Linked DNA regions of Drosophila melanogaster. The protein of the gene in region 1 purifies or fractionates together with the protein of each later gene. This does not show direct contact. Each region holds a gene or a part of one and is shown on either strand. Other genes may lie near its edges.

The links. Proteins that work in one complex are often made in the same cells at the same time.
Region 2: the proteins of Tm2 (region 1) and Fer2LCH purify together in Drosophila melanogaster (affinity purification with mass spectrometry, with the first as the bait; one large-scale study listed by BioGRID). This does not show direct contact.
Region 3: the proteins of Tm2 (region 1) and Nplp2 purify together in Drosophila melanogaster (affinity purification with mass spectrometry, with the first as the bait; one large-scale study listed by BioGRID). This does not show direct contact.

The regions. Positions count from the first base shown.
Region 1 is NT_033777.3:15,306,433-15,317,204, forward strand, and holds Tm2 (tropomyosin 2), read left to right. Parts: upstream 1-3,812; 5' UTR 3,813-3,867; intron 3,868-4,244; exon of another isoform or gene 4,245-4,641; intron 4,642-5,602; exon of another isoform or gene 5,603-5,762; intron 5,763-5,943; exon of another isoform or gene 5,944-5,967; 5' UTR 5,968-6,020; coding exon 6,021-6,614; intron 6,615-6,676; coding exon 6,677-6,854; intron 6,855-7,158; coding exon 7,159-7,241; 3' UTR 7,242-7,588; intron 7,589-8,095; coding exon of another isoform or gene 8,096-8,178; 3' UTR 8,179-8,765; downstream 8,766-10,772. Other genes in the region: Tm1 (tropomyosin 1), read left to right, coding at 1,158-1,243; CG14866 (uncharacterized protein), read left to right, coding at 10,211-10,389, 10,462-10,772. UniProt on the Drosophila melanogaster protein: Tropomyosin, in association with the troponin complex, plays a central role in the calcium dependent regulation of muscle contraction. May also regulate motor systems required to maintain nuclear integrity and apico-basal polarity during embryogenesis.
Region 2 is NT_033777.3:30,386,840-30,392,969, reverse strand, and holds Fer2LCH (ferritin 2 light chain homologue), read right to left. Parts: upstream 4,141-6,130; 5' UTR 4,068-4,140; intron 3,832-4,067; exon of another isoform or gene 3,772-3,831; 5' UTR 3,760-3,771; coding exon 3,642-3,759; intron 3,555-3,641; coding exon 3,528-3,554; intron 3,274-3,527; coding exon 2,708-3,273; 3' UTR 2,386-2,707; downstream 1-2,385. Other genes in the region: Fer1HCH (ferritin 1 heavy chain homologue), read left to right, coding at 5,440-5,506, 5,859-5,867. UniProt on the Drosophila melanogaster protein: Stores iron in a soluble, non-toxic, readily available form. Important for iron homeostasis. Iron is taken up in the ferrous form and deposited as ferric hydroxides after oxidation.
Region 3 is NT_037436.4:13,354,774-13,359,608, reverse strand, and holds Nplp2 (Neuropeptide-like precursor 2), read right to left. Parts: upstream 3,234-4,835; 5' UTR 3,011-3,233; coding exon 2,966-3,010; intron 2,883-2,965; coding exon 2,757-2,882; intron 2,602-2,756; coding exon 2,512-2,601; coding exon of another isoform or gene 2,413-2,511; 3' UTR 2,386-2,412; downstream 1-2,385. Other genes in the region: CG17687 (uncharacterized protein), read right to left, coding at 4,760-4,835.

The DNA.
Region 1 (10,772 bases):
TGGAATCCGCGCAACCCTAAGCCGCCGACTCCCAAGCTCCCGACGCCCACGCCAGAAGAACTGGCCGCCATGGAGGAGGCACGAGCTGCGGCCGAAGCTGCCGCAGCTGCAGAAGCGGAAGCCGCAGAAGCAGCTGCAGCGGCTGGCGAAGCCGGACCAGATGGTGCGCCCGCTGCACCCGGAGAGGAAAAGGCACCGGCCAAGGAACCCACTCCGCCCAAGGAGCCCACTCCTCCGCCACCACCACCACCGCCATTCGAGTACTCGATCGATCTGCCCCCAGAGGGTGCCGAGGTGCCCTATGTCAAGAACTACGAGCCACCACCACCCGGATCCGAGCCAGAGCCAGTGCCAGCCGCTGAAGGAGAGGCTGCTCCGGCGGCGGAGGGTGCTGCTCCTCCGGCTGAGGGTGCTGCTCCACCCGCAGAAGGCGCTGTTCCTCCAGCTGACGGTGCTGCTCCGCCAGCTGAGGGTGCTGCTCCTGCTGCTGAAGGCGCTGCTCCTCCTGCTGATGGCGCCGCTCCTCCAGCCGAGGCTGCCGCAGCTCCAGCTGATGCAGCGGCTCCAGCTGCCGAGGCTGCTCCAGCTGAAGCACCTGCAGCCGAAGCCACCGCCGCCGAAGCTCCTCCAGCTGAAGCAGCGCCCGCCGAAGCGGCTCCAGCTGCTGCTGAAGGCGAGGCTCCCCCAGCTTAGGACCAGCTCGCCACATCCGCGCCAGAAATCGCTGCTGCACTTCGACGAAAGAGAAAACCACTGCTACCACATGCTGCCCTGCTTTTAAAAAACCTAGTTAAGAGCACGTTTTTTATTTTTGAAATAACTCAAAACGAAATTGAATTAAACATTCAGTTAGCCAAAGCATTATAAAAACGAAATGCTGCTTTTATTTTCTGTTCTTGCAAACTTTTTGATTTCCTTTAACCACACAGCTAGCACAACTTTGCGAACTCAACTGCTGGCTATTATTTATTTATTTTATCCGAAACCGAGGTAACTATCATTGGTTATTTTTTAAGTTATAAGTTTTTTGTGTAAAGGTCTCAGTTTGTGTCAGGTTTTAAGTGTAATTTTAATGATTTTCAATGAATTTATTTTTATTAATTTTCGTTCCTTACTCTTGCGTTCTTTTATGATTTCCCAAACAACAACTTGAACAGACGACCTCGTCCTGGAGAAGGAGCGCTACAAGGACATCGGAGACGATCTCGACACCGCCTTCGTCGAGCTCATCCTCAAGGAATAAGCGACAACCCGACCTTGACGGACCCTCGCACCCAGACCAAAATCGATCCGCACAGCTATATTTTTGGGCGGCACACCTTTCGATTGTTTGTTACTGTAGTCGCATAATCGTAGGCCCACTGTACTTGTATCTAGTAGCCTGCACTTTTGATTTGTGTGTTCGTAGATGGATAGTTTGTAGATTGATTTTGATCGCGGACCAATTAGAGGGAAGCATCGATGTAATTGTGTATTTGTTTGACTCAAACGTTTTTTATTTATTATTTGTATCCAAACTAAGCAATAAAGCAATCAACTTAAAAACATAAATCCCTATAAACTTGTCACATTTATTTTGTTTATTCCACCTGCTGCAGACGAGGTGAGCAAAGGTAAGGAAAAGTACAAAACCATCGCCCAGGAACTGGAGTACGCCGATCTCAACAACTACTAAGGGAATGAAATCCACTTCATGGGGAGATGAGCAGCAATCACTATGATGAAGACAAATGGAGTCCGAACGCATTCGACGTCCGAATTACAAATTATTTTTAGCATAACACTTCTTCGCCTAAGCATTCCCAAAAAAAAAACAACTTTCTTACATAAGAGCAAGAGTTTTACAATAAAGTAAAAAATACATTTTTAGCAATTACTATTGAAATTTATATGGAGCCTAAAGTTAAAACGAGTTGTGTAACGAAAAGAAACGCTGCCATTTTCCTTGAAACTAAAATTCCAGCTCGAAAAAGTATGTGTAATATTTTGAATACAAAACCCCAGAAAGCCCACCACTCAATATCGTTAATCAGCATCTTCAAATAAAAAACTCAGTTACGCTTAAGCCAGAGTCAATTTTTCTCAACTTTCTGTTGCTTGTGTGTTTTTATGGCAGTTCGCGAAGTGTATCTACAAAATTTCTATGGCCTTTGTATATGTTTAAACAACAAGAATAGGAGATATATTATTAGAATATATAAACGAAGACATATAAATTAAATTTACACATTTGTCATAGCTTTTGTAATTCTATGAAGCGTGCAAAACAAATATAACAATGTATGTATTTTTCTTTTTCAACTCAATATTTTTACGATCAATAAACTGAAATCATTCTTTTGCATATAAAAAATTTCATGGATTTTTTATTTAAACGGTGGGTTGCATTAGTTAAATAATAAAAATATGCACTGATCATGAATCGAATATAAAGGACATAAAGTGTCCTGTTGGTTTCAATCTGCCGGAATATTGTGTATCCTTATTAAAAGTTAATATTGAAATCAAAATCAAATCATGCTTATATCCCAAAACTTATAGGATGTTTTTATTTGTGTTGGAATAACCATATTTGTCACATGTGTGATATTTTAACTCAACATTAAATATTCTTTGGAGCTACATATATAAAAAAAGTTTAAAATAAGCTTAAAGAAGAAGGGTTTTGAAAAATCGAATTTGAAAACTGAATACGTTTGCTCGCCAATTAGTTGTTTTTGAACAGTTTTGAAAATATGAAGTTTCAAACATTTTCCTAAATCAAGAAGAGCTATAAATCAACTAAAATTTGAAGTTATAAAAGTCTATAAATAAAGTGCACAATATTATTGACTTATGTAGGTTTGGCTTTTAAGTAAAATTTATTGCTGAACGAGAATAAAAAGATCGGGAGTACATATAAGTGTAATCCAGAGACTATGAGACATTTGGTGGAATCTTCTTGATATATAATAGTATTAAAGAAGATGTTACGTCACAGAAATATTGAAAGAAGAAGAAAATTGAACTGGATTTTGAGATGAATTGCTAAATGGATTTAGCGAGGTCGGACATATAAATAAAACCCACCATATATATTTATCTTTTAAATATACCTATATAAAAATATACATATATCTATAGAATTTCTTAGTTTAGAGTTTTGATAACAATTTTTCCATATCGTTACTTAATTGGTTATTAAAATAAATAAATTATAGATTTTATTCTTCAGTTATATAGTAAGTTAAGTGGTTTTGTTTTAGCAAAAAATCGAACGGGGACAATTAACACACAAGAAAATCGGATCAATTGCCTTGCATTCGAGACTTTCGAAAGCAAAAGAACGGCAGGAAAACGCTGGCCGATCAAAATTCCAAATATTTCTCAATATTTTTTTACCGAGCGAAAATAGATTTTCATCTTGTTGGACTTTTGCTCTTGCTGCTTGTGGCTATTTTTGGCCGTGTATCTGACGGATACACGCACACACACAGACAGCGAGAGTGCTGTGAGTAAAATATAAATTGAATTTAGATTTAAGAAGCAGAAAGAAAAGCGCATAAATTTCACGAGAATGCAGCCCAAAAGAGAGAGCATCGTATGAAGCAGCTTTTGGGGGAAATTTCGAGGGAAATTTTCGAGATCGCCGAGCAAAGTTGCGAAAGCGCCATTCCACATATACATTTATTAATGGGAAATTTTTGAGGCGAGAAATTATTCAATACCGCGTTGGTGTGTGCCCTCAGTGTGTGTGAGTTTTTCCGATTTTCCGAGTGGCAGTGTGCGTGTGCGTTGGATCTTGGGGTCGCTTTCTGGGCTAAGCAACTTGGTCAGCATCAGTGTTCTCGGGGTTTCGACAGCGTATAGTGTGTTTGAAACGCTAAGGTTGGTCACGCCAGGATTTTCACCCGACAAGAATTAACTCAAAATAAATATAATTAAATCGCTCGCCTTTGCTGCTAACCAAATTGGTATTTTCAACTGGATTTCGAGTGGATAACAAAATTGTGATAAGTGCATGGCATTCAAAATTATAAATTTTGAATTTTCCCCAAACGGGAAAAAAAAGGAAAACCTTGTTAAACTTAAATAAAATGTGCATATGTATATGTGTCAATTAGCCTGGATATAAAGTTCTACAAAAAGTTAAATGAGTGATCCAAATGTAATGGAAGTGAAAATTGCTATAACTAAAAAAATGAATATCTCTAAAAAACTTAAAATGAACGATCTAAACTACTTGAAAATGGAGATCTTATGATCATTTTTCGGATATTTTCAAAATTCGCTTATAAGGAATTTTGTAACTAAATCTGACGGCACCAATACCATCCAATAAATATCTGTGTGTGTGTGAGAGAATTTTTTTTTGCACACACACACATGAGCTTCATTCGGAAAGCTCTACACGAATGGGACACATATACATATGCACCTTACACACTTATGGCACGCACAATTTTCACACACACAATCACACTCGACCGATAAAGTTTTCCTCGAAGAAAATTCTTTAAAATTAACTGCAGACAGACACCTGCCTGTCACACACACACAGACATACGCATTTATTTTTAACTCTGCCTGAAATTTATACGAAAAAGCTTTTCCGTCTAGCTTTCTGTGATCTCAGAAAACGAAGGCAGTCGAGAACTATAGGTATTTATCCTTGAGATTGTTTTCGAGAGAGATATTTTGGAAAATATTAGAGACGTAGACGATTCCCAGATGCGGATACATATGGTATCTATCTGGGAATATATATATTCAAGGCATAGCCACCCACACAGAATTGTAGATTTCAGAGCGAATATTTCTAGCCATTCGTGAATGCGTCCGAAGGCCGCAAAATTTGCCATCTTTAAGATACATATTCGAACTGATTGAAAGCCCAAGTACCTTTGGCAATCACCAAAAATTTTAATGATGTGAAAACTAAGTAGCTATTTAACATATTATAAGTTATTTAAAGTCTTTAGAAAGAAATCCTTTTTACCTCATAAATCACATATTAAACATTGCTTATGTTTTTTTGGGTACAAAACACACATGAGTATCGCAAGACCTCCAAAAGATCAGCAACTACAACATAAATGACTTTGCCCCACTTTGGGTGGTAGCAACATAGATACACGAATTCGAATACGAATACGCCCACACACCAAATGACCCCAAAGAATTGAATACTTTTCAAATTGCAATCGGTGGCGAGCTATGTACATATATATGTGGGGTATTTCGAAATAATAGGGGGAAACTCTAGAATTACATTTAGCACACAATGTCCAAAAAAGCATTTCTCCTATGCGTGTGTGTGCGAGTGGACTGGATATTTTTTTCTCACATGCAAAAGCATATAAAGTTTATTTTTAACCCCACCGAATCGTGCAGCAAATAAACATATAAACATATAGCTCACCGACGGATCCGGATTCGGATTTTGAGTGGGCGTTTTGAAAATGGAAAATGAAAATTACGTGAGATCTTTTGAGAATGCTCGGCGTAGCCGCCAAACAAAATGTGTTTACATTTAATTCTCAAATTTATTGCACGAACACATATGCACAGCATATAGATATATACAATTTAATTATACCTATGGATAACCTATAGAATGCGCCTGGATCGTTTAAATAAACCGATTTTGTCTTGCAGCGGAAACATAAAAATTCTAGAAGTCACAGTAAAGAAACAAAAATGTATAGTCAAAAGAAAAATCCAAGTTCAAAAAATCTGTAATTTATGAAAGGAAATAAACATTGGAATATCTTAGGACCAACGTATATATGTTATAATATATTATTAAGCGGTTCAAAGCTACAATTAGATTTAAATAAAAAAGTCATACATTTTATTAATTATATAATATTATTATTATTATATTATAGTATATATAATATTCTATGCCTTATGAAAATTGCTCCTTAAAAATTGCACATTAAGGATTCAGTTATTCAGCTTACTCATTTGTATTATTTGGCACAGTGCTTTTTTCCAGTTTTCTTCCCTTGTAAGTCAAAAACAAAAACACAAACACCATGGACGCCATCAAGAAGAAGATGCAAGCGATGAAGCTTGAGAAGGATAACGCCATTGACAAGGCCGACACCTGCGAGAACCAAGCCAAGGATGCCAACTCCCGCGCCGACAAACTGAACGAGGAGGTGCGCGATCTGGAGAAGAAGTTCGTCCAGGTGGAGATCGATCTGGTTACCGCCAAGGAGCAGCTGGAGAAGGCCAACACCGAGCTGGAGGAGAAGGAGAAACTCCTGACCGCCACCGAGTCCGAGGTGGCCACCCAGAACCGCAAGGTGCAACAGATTGAGGAGGATCTGGAGAAGTCCGAGGAGCGCTCGACCACCGCCCAACAGAAGCTGCTGGAGGCCACCCAGTCGGCCGATGAGAACAACCGCATGTGCAAGGTGCTGGAGAACCGTTCCCAGCAGGATGAGGAGCGCATGGACCAGCTGACCAACCAGTTGAAGGAGGCCCGCATGCTGGCTGAGGATGCCGATACCAAGTCCGACGAGGTCTCCCGCAAGCTGGCCTTCGTTGAAGACGAGCTGGAGGTGGCTGAGGATCGTGTCCGCTCCGGCGAGTCCAAGATCATGGAGCTGGAGGAGGAGCTGAAGGTGGGTCCTCAAGAGAAATCCTTCTGTTCTCAAACCACTATTCATGGTGTATTCCCAACTAGGTTGTCGGCAACTCCCTGAAGTCCCTGGAGGTGTCCGAGGAGAAGGCCAACCAGCGCGTGGAGGAGTTCAAGCGCGAGATGAAGACCCTGTCCATCAAGTTGAAGGAGGCCGAGCAGCGCGCCGAGCACGCCGAGAAGCAAGTGAAGCGCCTGCAGAAGGAGGTCGACAGGCTAGAGGGTATGTATCCAACTTCCTACGCCCCTGGCACATTCACTCAGCCATTTTCCGCGGAGGTATCTCTCCACGGGACACCGGAGATGCTGTCCACCGGAAGTGATCCGCCTCGAACGGCCGGATCGCTGGCTTCAACTAATGCTCGCATTGTATTTATCGCCATAAGGATATTAATAATTGTACTTAGTACTCTGCTTTCATTAATTGACGTTCCACATTCACACATCTCGCTCGCTCGCCCTTTTTTTTGAATATCTCTCTATATATATATTTGTATAAATGAACAACAAACAAATGCTTTTTGCAGACCGTCTCTTCAATGAGAAGGAAAAATACAAAGCAATCTGCGACGATTTGGACCAGACATTTGCCGAACTTACTGGATATTAAAAAAGATCACAAACAGAACTCACACAATGCCCTTGCCTCCCCCCCCCCCCAACCGCCCCTTGCCCAACTCCCCCAAAAAAAGGAACACTCTCAGTACATCCCGAATCCCACACAGTTTATTATATATATATATATATATTCTATATTATATTTTTGGAACGATTCCCCCAACAGTTTCAGTGTATTTACCACCCAGCCCAACACGCCACACTTATCTATACACTGTAAATAATCTGTTTAGTCCCGCTTGAATGTGGCCACACCCACACGACCAGTTCCCTACGCCAGTACACTGTAAAAATAAGTTCAGATCAAGCCAAACCAAGTTGCAACTGTAGTTAATACAGGTGAATTTATCAATGTAAATATTGTTGTTTGTATGCCAGATTCTTACCCGTTGTGATGTGGCATGACCTCTTGACCCGTCTCGCCTTCGCACTCTATCTCAGTCTATGTCTCTATGTCTCTCTCTCTCTCTCTCTCTCTATCGTCTCGTCGATCATCAGTGGCTTTCGTTCGAGCCAATTTCGCCCAGGCCTTGGTCGAGGGATTCTCTCAAGGATTGCTGCAACGATTGGTTGGATAGATCATGTCCACATCCCGTAGAGCACCCCATAGATAGTCCTGTCCCCCACCTCCCCTGAAAACCCACGCACAGAACCGCTGACTAACCCAAAAGATCAAAAGATAGAAACGCCTGCCAGAACAGCGCGCCACTAATCCTAATCAATAACTCCATAAACTTGGTACACATGGTGTAAAGTTTGAGTGTTTTTCGTTTCAATTCCAATGTTAAAAAACCATATTTTTGAATATTTTCTAACGCATTTCCAACCACCATTTGCACTCCGCAGACGAGTTGGGCATCAACAAGGACAGGTACAAGTCCCTGGCCGACGAGATGGACTCCACATTCGCCGAATTGGCTGGCTACTAAGTTGGCCAACAGTCCCATTATACCAAATCCACACCAGCAGCGGAGGAAGATGGAGACGACGACGAGATGGAGAACTCTACTAATTGTAAACGAATATCTCAAATTGATTTGGCCAACACGAAGATCGGCGGCCGCAGATACCAAGAACAACAACCATTGTGTATGCAATTCTTTATAAATCTATATATTTCATAATAAATAAATAACAACAACAAACAGATCAACAACAGCAACAAAGCCAACGAGCATAGAAAGCAAATGGAAATTCTTTTGTTTTATAAAAAATAAAATTATCTAAAGTCAAAAGTAGCAGAATGTATAAAGTAAACAAAACGAAAACAAGAACACGAATTTTGTATTTTTAAAATCAATGTTTAAAAATATTAAGAAGCGCTTGCAGTCAGGCAATAAGAGCGAGAGAGCTAGAGAGAGTGCCCAGGAAAGAGACGGGGCTAAATTTAAAATTTTAAGATCGCGCTGCCTGCTTTACTTTCAGTTTATATCTTACAATTACACCACAAACAAACAAAAAAACACCCACAAAAAAAGTATAAAAAAATTTATAAAAACTTTGCTAAAAAAAAATTATATGTTTGATGTTTGCTTTCAATGATGCACAAAACCGAATTTCTTTGCCCTTCAGCGAATCGCGCTGAAGTTCACTACATTTTTGGCGGATATGCAAAGTAGTCTTCAGTTTTTTCCACCGATTTCTCATACTCTTGGGAAACCCCATGGATGCTGGGCCGAAATAACCAAGTCCGAAGTGCGTCACCACTTCATCGGAGATGGATCACGATCCGCAAATCGAGGCCTTCATTGCAACATCTTTAGCATCCGCGCTAATTGTCAAAGCAATGAATAATGAAAGTTCAGTTATCTGTATATATATGGCATATATACACATCCTCAGGGTGATTTCCAGATATGAATTGTAGATGTGGGCAGCTCGCCGTTTTGACCATCAATAAGTGAGTTAAGGCCGCGTTCGACATGTGGGTCTGTTGCTCTCTTGGCCAAATGGACTTTCTTGTAAACTGAACTCGAATTGAATTTCCATTTCTCCTCGCTCTTCTCGCGACGTTGGCCATAAAATAGTTATTAAATCGTTAAGTGGTGTGTTAAATTACCCACTTAAAGCGCCAGTCATTATTTACATAATTTACATTATGGTATATGGAAGCTGGCAGATATGTTCATCTTATGAAAAAAAAAGAAAGAGTCATTTCGAGTTTAAAAAAAAAAACTTTTGTTTTTAGCTTTTAAAAAGAAATATATAGAGAACGGTTGATATTTTAAAAGCTGTTATCTTTAAGATAGAAGTTGAAATATGAATGATTATTCCATGTTTATATTGCCCGGGGAGGAACTAGAAAATCGCCTAAGTTACTTTCTTAGTTAACCGCATTCAGAAAGTCATTCCTCACAAGTCGAAGAACACCCAAATGAACATGGCACATCCAGCACACCAAACTCCATTTCATTCAAGTTTAAGCCAGCAGTTTTCGCTTCAATTGACAGCCGCGTCAATTACCTAAGTCTGGGCCAATTTGGTTGGAGTGCAAACAAACAGTGGGTCGGACCGGGCCGGTCCACAAAAGCGGCGAGCGGAGCAGTAGAGATGCCGATGAAAAGCCCAATGACTTACATTTGCCCACCACAGCCAAGCGAAGGAGAAAGTGAAATTTTGCATTTCTCGGCGGCCGGCAGCAACAACAATGGGTCTTCGGTCTGGTTGGGTCTGGTCTTGGCCATTGCCATTGGCATGGTATTGAAGCGGTGCGACGGTAGCAGGGAAGAGGGGAAGGAAGAGGCGATCAGCGAGCGGAGCGGACCAGGCCCAAAGTCAAGCGCAGAGCTTCAGTCGTGGTTTTCAGCTCGACCCAAGCGAACGGACGTCTTTGAACAGCGGACGCGGCATAAACCGCACGGAAAACGCAACGAAATCGAAAGTGTTCACCACGCGACTGGAATCGCCAAGTGCTTAGCGAGGCGGGGGCAATATACCCATCCGTAAACATTACGTGTCACCATGCCGCCGGCTGGTCAACAACTCCGGCTTACGGCCCTTGTTTATCTGGCATTAGGTATTGCACTCTTATGCAATGGCAGCGATGGTGAAACTAGGCAAAAATACGCCAATGAATCACTCGCGGACGCAGACGATCCATCTCCAGTTTGGTCGCAATTTCTCGAAGATTACGTCTTGAGGTATGGTTACAGGAGGCTAGGCTAGGGCAACACACTCATCCAGATCTTCCCACGCGTCTGTCTTACATATAGCCAAGGCAGCAGTAGCAGCGGCAGCCAGCGAAAGTCCAAAGACCTGCCTTATATGGGCGCGGACATGGGCATCAATGGACCGCTCAGCTATCACTCGTCCGCCTACAAGCGACCCGGCAACAATATCTACATCACCAGGAGAATTGGCGAGGCGGTGGAACTAGAGCCGCATCTGCGAAAGCCCGTGGAGAGCCAGAGTCCCATTGTGAATCCTCAGTTCCGACCCATGACCAATCAAATGTTGCACCAGCAACACCAACAGATGCAGCAACAACAGCAACAGCAACAGTTGCAGCAACGCCAGCAACCGG
Region 2 (6,130 bases), about 15 Mb from region 1:
GCGATAAGGACGTTTATTCAGTCCCAGTCCCGCGCCAGTAAAAATTTGTTAATGAAAAATGGCAAACAATTTCGCTTCTTGGCCTGCCTGTCTGCCTTGCCACCGAAAACATGGCGAAAAACAAAGGGACAGGAGACAAGACTTTTCATTAAAATTGCACAGGCGTAGAAGTGGTCGTGAGAGAGGGGGGGGGAGTGGTTCAAGGATTATTTATGGGAGCCTGGCGGAAGCTGTCGGCGCAGCTGCCTTTCACTGGCTGCAAATGGCATTGCAATAAAACGAAATTAAATTGCTATTTTGCATACATATTATGTGTGCCCAAATGTCCTGGACACTCTCACACACTCACACACAGACACACACCCACACACATTCTCATATTCATAGTTGTCTGGATGGCGAACAATAACCAAAATATTCGGAATCCTTTGACAACATCTGGCCTCCCAAATAGTTTTTAACCCCTGCCACCTCAACCACAACCCTTTGTAATTGCTTGACGCTTTTATTAAAATGCATAAATGAATAGAATTATTTTGGGGCAAAGACACCTTTTTATAGCCGCCATTTAGAGCATGTGTGGAATGGCTTCGAAAAACCAGTTTAGGACCACATAATTTGTGCGATGGCTCATGACCAAACAATTACAAATGACGAAGTTAAGATCCTCGCCAAATGCACCACAAATGACCGCAATTAGCCACCCTACTCTCTACCGTACACTTAGAGAAATCTTATGGTCTATAAAAATGAGCGCCTTAATTTGATCATTCCTTCAATATAAAAATGTCAAAGTTACTAAGCTTGTATCCCTTCTTATATTCTTATATTTAATTGGTTCCAAGACTTGACTACCCTCTTTTTTTCCCTGTGCATCCAGCGGACATAACGAAAATCATTGAGGCAGCATCCATCCGCAAATCAGGGCAATTAATATTAAGTGGATTATTATTTAATGACCGCTGCACGCACTCGGAGACACTGAAGAACCCACTCGGAGCGATCCAAGCACTATTCCAACCCAAAACCACATCAACTTGAATCCCATTTGGTCCTAACTGTTATGATTCCGAATGGAGTTTTCTCTTATGGCTGTCATATTCTAATTACATAAGAGCACGCAGTTATTACACGGATTCGCCTAATGCCGCAGATACGGATGCTGTGATTTGATGACCCCTGACCCCTGGCATTAAAATGGCAAATTGACGTTCATTTCACGTGCTAGTGGACCGTATCCGTACTCCGGATGTGCGGCGATATGAGCAAAGTCCTCATTGAATGGGCGTCGCTAATTGATAAATTGCTTCGATGCGTGGCTGGGATCCATAGTCGCATAGTACAATAGCTACTCAAATGCCGCAGAAAATGCTTAGAGAAAACCACTTTCAAAAGTGATTAAAGATACATTTTTACCTATTTCACACGTTAATTGAGCAGCTGTTATAGGATCTTACGGAATTTCCTAGAATTAATAGAGCTTCCATGTGGATTATAAAAAAAAAACTCATATTCACAAATAGGGATTCACAACAATTATTGTAGGTCAGGAGAGTGAGGAGGGAGCAGAGGAAGATAGGGAAACTGCGATGCAAATTCAGGGGACAATTAAAATCCGAGATTGCATCGGCTTACGCAACAATGTGACATCCACGTCATCGTGGAGTCTCCGACTTAGTCAGCAGACGGCCAAGATGGCGCCCGGCGGATCTGCTCCGGTTCCGGAGCGGCAAAGCCGTGTGCACCAGGCAGTGATAAGGCGACAGAGAGAATCTCGCATGGAATGACAAACGTGGCCCCTTCGTATCAGCGGCGGAGGAGTGTATCACTGATTAGATAGTCGGGCTCCTTTAAGCCCCACAGATCACTGCGAGAGATAGGTTTCACTTTTCACCATCGATTTAGGTTGTCAATTGAAAGAAAGTAATAAATTGATATTGAGATAGATAGATCCCACTAGATCCTAAGTGATTCCAGTCTCTGAATGGTCAAAAAGATGATTTTAAAATGGTAACGTAGTTTGCATACAATACTACGATATTTACAACATGGGTTTACATTCTCATTTATTTATTTATTTTTAGACAAGCGTTGATGGCTTGTACATAAACATATGGTTTTTAGTTGAAGGCACATTCTAAGAATATCAGAAACCACAACATTATGGAACATTACACCCGTTGTGATCGCAGAACTGAGTAGTTTCCGATACCATTTCGACTTTGTATATTTCATTGTTCCATATGATATCCAAAGTACACTGCCAGCCAGCCCGCAATCAGCAGCACTCGGAGAAAAAACGCAAACAGACGCCCCTCATTGAGGACCAGATACATTTCGACCCAAACCCAAACCTTATCAGAGAGGCAAAAATGCTGCTGTTTTACTAGTTGATAATTAGGTTCTTTGATGTGTTTATTATTTGTTCAAGCGGTAACGTACATACTAAAGATACATTTGCTGGGGCGAACTTGCTAACTTATTTATGATAACATTATCACAATCTGGTGTGCTGGTAAATCAAGGTGAATTTCGCGGTGTAAATTATTCACTTGTGGCTGCTTTGATAATGCTGCTGCTGCACTGCGATTTATTGATGAACAATCCAAGGAAACAAATTTATAAGGGAATTATGAGAGCAATTTTGAGGAGACAGTGTAGGAGCGTGTTAGAAAAAGAAGGAGGAAAAGGAGGTGGTCTCCACTCCTTACTGCTTCTGCAGATACTCGTCGAACAGGTAGACGGACAGGGATGGGTCGGGGACCTTCATCAGCTTGGCGAGGTCGTTGGCATAGCCGGACAGCTTGCGCACGCTCTCGGCCTGCTTGCCCAGGAAGTTCTCCTCGAAGTAGTGGGCCAGCTCGGGATCCCTCTCGGCGTCGGTGGCGTGGGTGGCACGGGAGTGCACGTGAGTGGCTCCGGTGGCCAGCTGCTTCTCGGTGTCCAGAGCCAGAGCCAGGGAGTGCAGTTCGTCGACCTCAAGAGTGCCGCGCTTGGTGCTCACGGAGCCGGAAGACTCGTGGCGGGTGTTGAAGTCAACGATTCCTCCGCGACGGGTCACCTGCTTGATCAGGGCAATGCTGTCCTCGAAGGAGCGGTCCGAGAGTCCCTGGTACAGCTTCTGGAAGCCGGGGCGGTTCTTCTGGTAGGAGTTGAAGTGGGTGGCCAGCAGGAGGTAGTCGTACGACTTGGCCAAGTTGGCGTTGATGTAGGACTGGATCTCGGGCTCAATATGGTCAATGCCAGCAAAACGGGCATTACAAATGGAGTTGGCTACGGGGAAAAAGCAAATAATAAAGATCACACTCTTAGAATAGGAGAGCAGAAGCACATCCAATAGTAATGACATAGTCTTAATGGTTCCTAACTAGGTAGTGCCATACTAAACAAGGCAATAGAATTTTGAATTTGTATTTGTATCTTTAAAATAATAATGTAAGGGCCGTAATGCAGTAAGAATTGGAAAGTGTTCATTTTCACGAAATCTGAGATAGTGCAGAAATACATCCAATCTATATTTCACTTACTCTTGCCTGTGAAAAAGCCCGTGAGCGCTTGTTTTTATTATTATGTTTTACAAAGATACAAAAAGCAACAACACAGATTAGCCACTCTCTCTTAGAGGCGCTCTCTTTACTCACCCGAAAAGGCTGACGTAGAGCATGCGGTGATTACAGTGTTCTGGCAATATTCATCATCCTTGGCCAAGGCAAGAGAGCCGAGGCACGCAAAGAGAGCGAGTGCAACGAAAAATTTCATGTCGACGGTTTACTGTAAATTAAAATCAAATTCGAGAGGCGAAAACAAAGGAAATTAGTTTCACAACAATTGACAATTGGAAAACAGACACTTTTGTTTTCATTTTGGGCGAGTTTTTTCGTTTTGCGTCGTAGCGTTTTCTTGAATTTTCTGTGCTCTTTTTTAACAACAAAACCACCACCAATGGAATGTTTTGGTTTTTAAATTTATATGGTGGTCGGTTTAAAAACACAGTTTCCAGAATATTATTTTCTAGTTTTCGTAACTAAACACTCACAAAGTAGTTAGTTAGTAATATTAAAACTCACTTCCAGTGCCTGTGCTTTTATTAATAATTCAATCGCTTTATGTGCTTCTTGGTGAAACTCTGAAAATCAACTGCTGTTTATAGCGTCGCGTACGTCTCTTTCTATGCGATCGATATGGCTGTGTGTGTGTGGTTTTGGAGAGCGTGCATGGGCATGTGTTGTTTTGCGCTCAGTGCGGGATTTCGGTGTCATTCAAATATGGCCGCTGCCAGTGCTGTTGTTGCTGCGCCTGCTGGAAGGTGACTCACGACAGGGTTGTCAGCGTGTGCAAAATATGGACGCTGCACTTTGGATTTCAAGTGGTTTCCTGAGAGTTTTATCAGCTAACGATGAGAATTGAAAATAAACTGCAGATAAACCATCTACCTCCTAAGATAATGTTTTAAGTTTTGATATATTGGTAATTCACAGCAGCATCGAGCTTGAGACTGTTGCTATTTACAATACATATTATTGCTGGGTTCGGAGATAATGTAGGGTTTCCCCAATCAACAAACAAATTATGTAATTTGTAAGTTTTCCCACCATGTATCCTTCTTATCAAGTGTCATTCTTGGAGCTCTGCAAGCGACACGTAAAAAAGAGCCGTCGCCATATTAGCAGTTATCAAAGTGGGTGACTGATCCCCCCTTCGAACGTGCAAATCAACTTGACAAAATGTGAATTAAATTGTCAGCAATAATTAAACCGCCTGGCAACACATGACGTGGTGCTCTCCCACGGCCAAAACAAAAACAAAGAACAGCTGATGCGCATCTCAAAAGAGCGGCCATATTGCATTTGATAAATTTACTTCTTAGTAAGTGGGGATTATCTGACTAGGAAACCCGACTTTATACAAAGTATACCCATATTGAGGACGTGTGTATCACATTGAGTGCGGCAATTATCGGGAATATTCAATTATCAGCCATTTAAACGGTTAACAAAGAACGGGCGACATGTTGAAAAGATAACAGTGCACACTCTCCCATCACTCACACACACACGAAGAAAAACCGAGAGCGCGCGCGCTTAAAAGTGTTTTGTGCGCCGTTCGGAGCGACAGTTCGCTTTCGAGTTCGCTAAAACACAACGTAGAAAGGCCTTAGCTCCACTGAAAAATCAGATTAAAGCTGTCAGCAGAAGGTACTGGAAAGCATTCGAGAAGTCGAAAATAATCCCAATCAAGCCCATCAAATTGAAGCAGGCGACGCCTTCTGCGCCAGTGTGTGTAAAGGCAGCTAGATTTTCAATTTCAACGCCTATTTAACATTGTAGCTCAACTCGAGTCGCCTCATTCTCATTTGTGCATTTCAAGCAAATCAAACTAAAGTGAAAAACAAATTTTTGTTCTGTGATTTTGTGTAAAGACTACGTTCGACGATCAAAGATGGTGAAACTAATTGCTAGCCTGCTCCTGTTGGCCGTGGTGGCCCAGGCCTATGGAGATTTCAAGTGTAAGTACTAATGTTACGTTTTATTCATCAGAATTTCAAACAAAACAAAGGCAGGTCATCGGAAAAAAAACAATAAATTTCGACGCAATACGCAAAGAGAAGCAAAACATTTGTAATGCGTTGAAAAGAGCATGCGCCGTTTCTCTTTGACGCTCTTTCACTCTCTTTCGTCAATGAAGTGAAGTTACCAAACCAGTTGATTTAAAAGTTATTGATACTTCCGTTGCGCTTTGGGGAAATGATAACCAGTTTTTATACATAAATTTTCATAATTAAATAATGCGAATTTCGCTTTCATTTCCATGAATATTGCGGTATAAATAAGCTTGACTTTTTGTTGTTACATTTCAAGGCGCTCTTTGCACACGGCTTTTACGGGCCGAGTGAGCTAGCATGGTGAACCATGCTTTTTGCACACGGCACTACACGAAAACAAATGCCGTTACTATGGCGGCGAGAGCTGCGCACGTTACCAATGCAGTTACAAAAACAGAGAGAGAGAGTGGGAGAGTAGGCCATTACAGTTTTGCACACGGTTTTTGTGCCCTAGAATAGCGGCATTTCAAGCGCAATTTCAAAGGTTTATGCAATTACGCCCTCTTAAATGCAATAACCAACAACGCC
Region 3 (4,835 bases), on another chromosome or scaffold:
TCGAAATGTTTCAAAATGTGAAATAAATTAATCTTAGTTGATTGTTAGTAGTCTTCTTCTTAAGTAGTTAAACATTCCTGAGGCCACATAAATTTATTGATTTCTTAGTATTTCAATCCTAATTTTAAAATGTTTTTTTTTTTCTAAATGTCAAGTAAAATGATTTCGTCTTTTTTTCATATGTAATACGTTCAAGTTATCACACTGGCACCTCCGTCAACTTTGAACACCGAACCAACAACATTTTTCTGACGAAGCAAAGTCCTACGTGGAGTGCGTGTGGGCGTGGCTGGAAAAGCCGCATTCCTCGCCCCCATTTTATGTGGCGCACAGAAACTGGCTGATAAACGCAAACAAATATGGGCGTCAACAGCTCGAATGGGCGACGGAAAATGGTTGGCGTTGTTCTCGTTTCGGTTTCCTCGCAGTTGCCGTTGCATTCCATTAACATTACAAATGTATTCATTGTTCGCAACAGGCAGCAGCAGCAATGACGCCATTATGCGGAAATGTGACAAGTGATAGAAAGGATAATGCCACCCCCTCTGCATTTTGCCTCCCCTTCGTCCAGGATTCTGCTGCATGCGAAACTTTTGCCTTCGCCGTTGTTTTCGCTTCTTTATGCGCAAGTGGCTTTATTATTTGTTTTTCCCGCTCGCACGCTAATATGGCCAGATGTGTGTGCATATATGTGGTGTCTGGCTTACTGCAGATGCTGCACACCCAACAATAAAAAGGAGTGCAAGGAAATTGGGTTTTCTGCAGGAAGACTTAATACTCTAGTTTACGAATAACATTATAAAAGAATTTGTCGCGTAATTTAATCAAATATAATTTTAATAGAGCTCAAAACAGTGAGATGGGTTTTCAAAATAATAGAAAATATTTAAAAATATCTTAACTTTTTCATATGCCATTTAATTATGCACTTTGGAAAGCAATCTCCTAGTAAAAGGACTTTTACCCAATGGAAGAGAGTGGAAAACTAACAACAACAATCGTAAAAGGATGACAAAATCACAGAATGCCAAATTGTTTTCGTATTATTGTTGCCATTGTTGTCGCTGTTGTAGATGCAGTTGCTGTTGTTGTAGTTGCAGCTGCAGTGGTAGTTGTAGTTGTAGTTGTAGCTGGTGCTGTTGTTGAGCTTATCGTTATTTAAATTAGCATTACAATGCACTCACACTGGCGCACGCACTGCGTGACATCGCAACCATATTGTTGCTGTGGGAACTGTTTGCTGCAGTGCCGAGGAGGAGAGTTTTCCAACTTGGTTGTACTCCCATAACTCCGCAGAGCAGAGCATCGCATCGCATCCCACCCGCTCATATCTGGCCACTTTCTTTGCGATTGTTTAGCAGTAGTTAATACAATTTTAATAGATAAATAATTAAAAAACGAACTAAAAGCACTAAAAAATAAACTCCTACTTTTCTGAACGGTTTAGTTTTAAGAACATATTTCATATTTCATTCATTTCACAAATTTTGACAATTCACCATTCCATTCACAGTTCGAATCGTTGAGTAAACCAGTAACTCACGGCGGGTTTGAATAAGACAACCTTCTAGAAGTGAAACAAAAACATTTATAAATTTCACGCAACAATGCCATAGAAATTGGACAAGGATGTCCGTTGATGGGAGCACACAGGTAAGCACGACTACATAATATATGTCTAAGCAACAATTTGGCAATATCCGCCTTTGCAAACTTCCGTTTGTGCAACCCACATTTTTGGCCCAAAGCTCGATACGAAATCCCTTGGAAGAAGCAAAAATCCACTTTGGTATTATGCAATCGTGCGCGGCGATGAAGTTAGATTGGGCGATCGGAGGGGATTCCCCGAGATGCGATGCCGTACAAATGCCAATACATTATTCATGGTTTCGAAAGCCCTCACATTTCGTCCTCCATTCCCCGAGTTGGCTGCGCCAAACAGGTGTGCAAAATAGCTGACAAATATTTCACGCGTGCTACCGTTTCAAAGCCAGTTGTTCTTACGAAACTCAAATCATGGCAATAATTTTTGATTTTCTGCAATTTTCTTCGAAGAAGAGCGAGATCAGCACTCTTCAGCATCTAAAATCTTTAATAACACAGTGAAAACGGTATAGAAAAGTTCCATAACTTAGCTTGTAGGAAGTGCAATTAACCATTTTCGGTGGCCGTACTAATAAAAATTGGCATAATTATAATAATTTTATCCTAACCAAGTCAAATTCATGCGTGGAAGCATATTTTCTCAGAATAAAAGAAATATAAATAAAAAAATCATCTTTCAATCTAAACATCTCAATTTTACCAATTTTAAGGTAATAAAATAGCTATTCTAGAAAGTGGAATGGAAAAATTTTTTAAAGTAATAGGCAAATATATGTTTTTGTGCTAAAAACAATTAACGTTTTAATTTCATTTTTTAGTTTTCATGTATGTAACAACTAAAGTTAAAGTTAAAACATTTATTGGAGTCGTTTTCAATGTAATGATATATGGCCATCCAACAACGTCTTAGGTGGATGCGGCTGGTGCCTGAAGAAATGTTTCGTTAAGTTTTTGCAGACCCTCCTGCACGGTATTTAATCCATCCTTGAAGAGACCCTACACAGAGAGAAAAGTTGTTAGTTAGAAATTCGTAAATACTTTATGGAAAATACGTATGTAGTGGATAGAATGAGTTTTAAGCGTCTCCACGAAAAATGACTATTAATTACTTAGAACTCGCTTTATTTTTGATATGATTGCTTTATAATTACCTCAACCTTCTTCGCGTCCAACGCCTTCAACTTTTCAATGAATTCGTTGAAATCACCCTGGGCCTTGGTAAGAAATTCTTGGGCAGGATTGGATTCCTCACGGGGGACGCGGGCGGACAGAGCCAACTGAAATCAAAGTGCCACATTGTAGTTTATCTCTGAAAATAGGTCCTGCATCTGTGTGCCAGGACTTTGAGCATTTTACTTACGGCGAACAGGGCGAACACGAGGATGCAAATTGCGAGCTTGGCCATTTTTGTGTTGGTTTTTTGTAACTGCTGCGGAACTCTGAACTAGAGAACGATGACTTGAGTACTGATTGAACCTCTGCCAAACTACTCATAACGACACCTCGTTTTGCGCCGCAGCCGGCCGAATTTGAGACCGGCTTATCGGCACTAGGAAGGCCGAGCGTTTAGAGCTACGGAGCTGACCCGTGATAAGCGTACTTTTTTCCGTAGCATGCTGGAATAGATTGCTTCGCATAACAGCTGAGCGTTTGCTTGGCTCAAGAATGTCTACATTTGTTTAGTCACAGAAGATAACCGCTTTATGCAACCGCCAAATAGTTAATCTCTGTAGGACTTAATGGTATTGCCCTATCCTCGAATCCAGTATTCTAGCACTTGGCCCGTAACAAAGATTTAAATATATAATTTAAGAATATTTTTAATTTGAATTTCAACAAGAAATAATTATGGAATTACCACTGTATAAATTTGGAATATACATATCCTACAATGTGTGCTTATCATTTCAATGGCTCGCATAGCTAAGCTGTTCTGAAGGCCTTTCGATCCAGCAATCGGAATTGTTTATCTACTTTTATTTGTTTTTTTCATTAAAGACCAAATATTTTAATATTTCTGTAAGCATTTTTTTTAGTTAAATATATATTTATATATAGTTAAAGTGAAGAGATAACGCTATAGTCGACTTTCTGTACGAGTAACAGGTATATAGTCAATTTTATTTTATACTATAATTTCCATTTTACCGGCTATCAATGCAAAGCACGTGGCACGTGATAAGGTTTTTTTTAAATGCTTTTGATAAGGCGCCCTACATTCGAAATTATGTAATTGCGCAAAATAAATATTTATAATACCGAGTATTAGAAAATTTGACGAAGCAACCCGGAAATTTCCAACGCGAAGCTAAGTTGGAGAAATGCAAATGCGATTGGACTTGGGCAAACCAAACAACGCTTTCAGAATATTTAGACAGAGCTACTCTTGTAGACTTTGGATATCAAAAACGTAAATTTAGCATGGTGAACTCATCTTAAAAGGCGAATAGAAATAACGAAACACTATTATCAACATAGATGCTGCGGTAAAAAAACTGAACTAACAAAAATAGTGTATTCTGTAGCTCACCTCCAGGGGTTAAAGTAATTTAAATGATGAATTCGCATATTTAGTAAAGAAATTACAGTTCTCTGGTTTTGAAAGCTGAATAGATAAGGGCTTACTGCTCGGAGTAAATCCGAAGATTACGTAATGGTTAAAAGAGGTAATAATAATTAGAATAATAGTCGTGTATTGCCGTATTTTTAGCGTAATCACGATATGATAGCCATATAAAGTGACAATCGGGGTTTTTTATTTGTATTATATTGCAACAGTTTGATCTCTCGGATCAACTCTCGTGTCTTCAAGGGCAATTCATTAAAACAATAAATGTGAAGTGCGATGCTGAAGGGTTTCCCCCAACTTAAGCCCCAAAAGTAGTTAGTCAAGAGTAGAGTTTGTTTCGGGAGCAACGAACTAAACAGCAAACAGAGCTCAAAGTGCACGACTTTATGCCTCGTTTTCGTAATTTTCCCCAGACACAAACAAACCCAATTAAGTGGCAGCACGAGTCAGAAGACCCAGACCAGATACCCAGAACCACTAATAAATTTTCATTTGGCGGAATGAAAATATTTAATTGCAATTTCGCCAAGTGGCTAAAACTTAGCCCCACGGTCTGGTCTGTTGGTTGGTCGGGTTGAAGTTCTCCTAGGGCACCGAACTGAGGATATGCTCCGGCACTGGCGGATGACATTGGGGCAGGGGTGGACCCAACGTGGGGTAG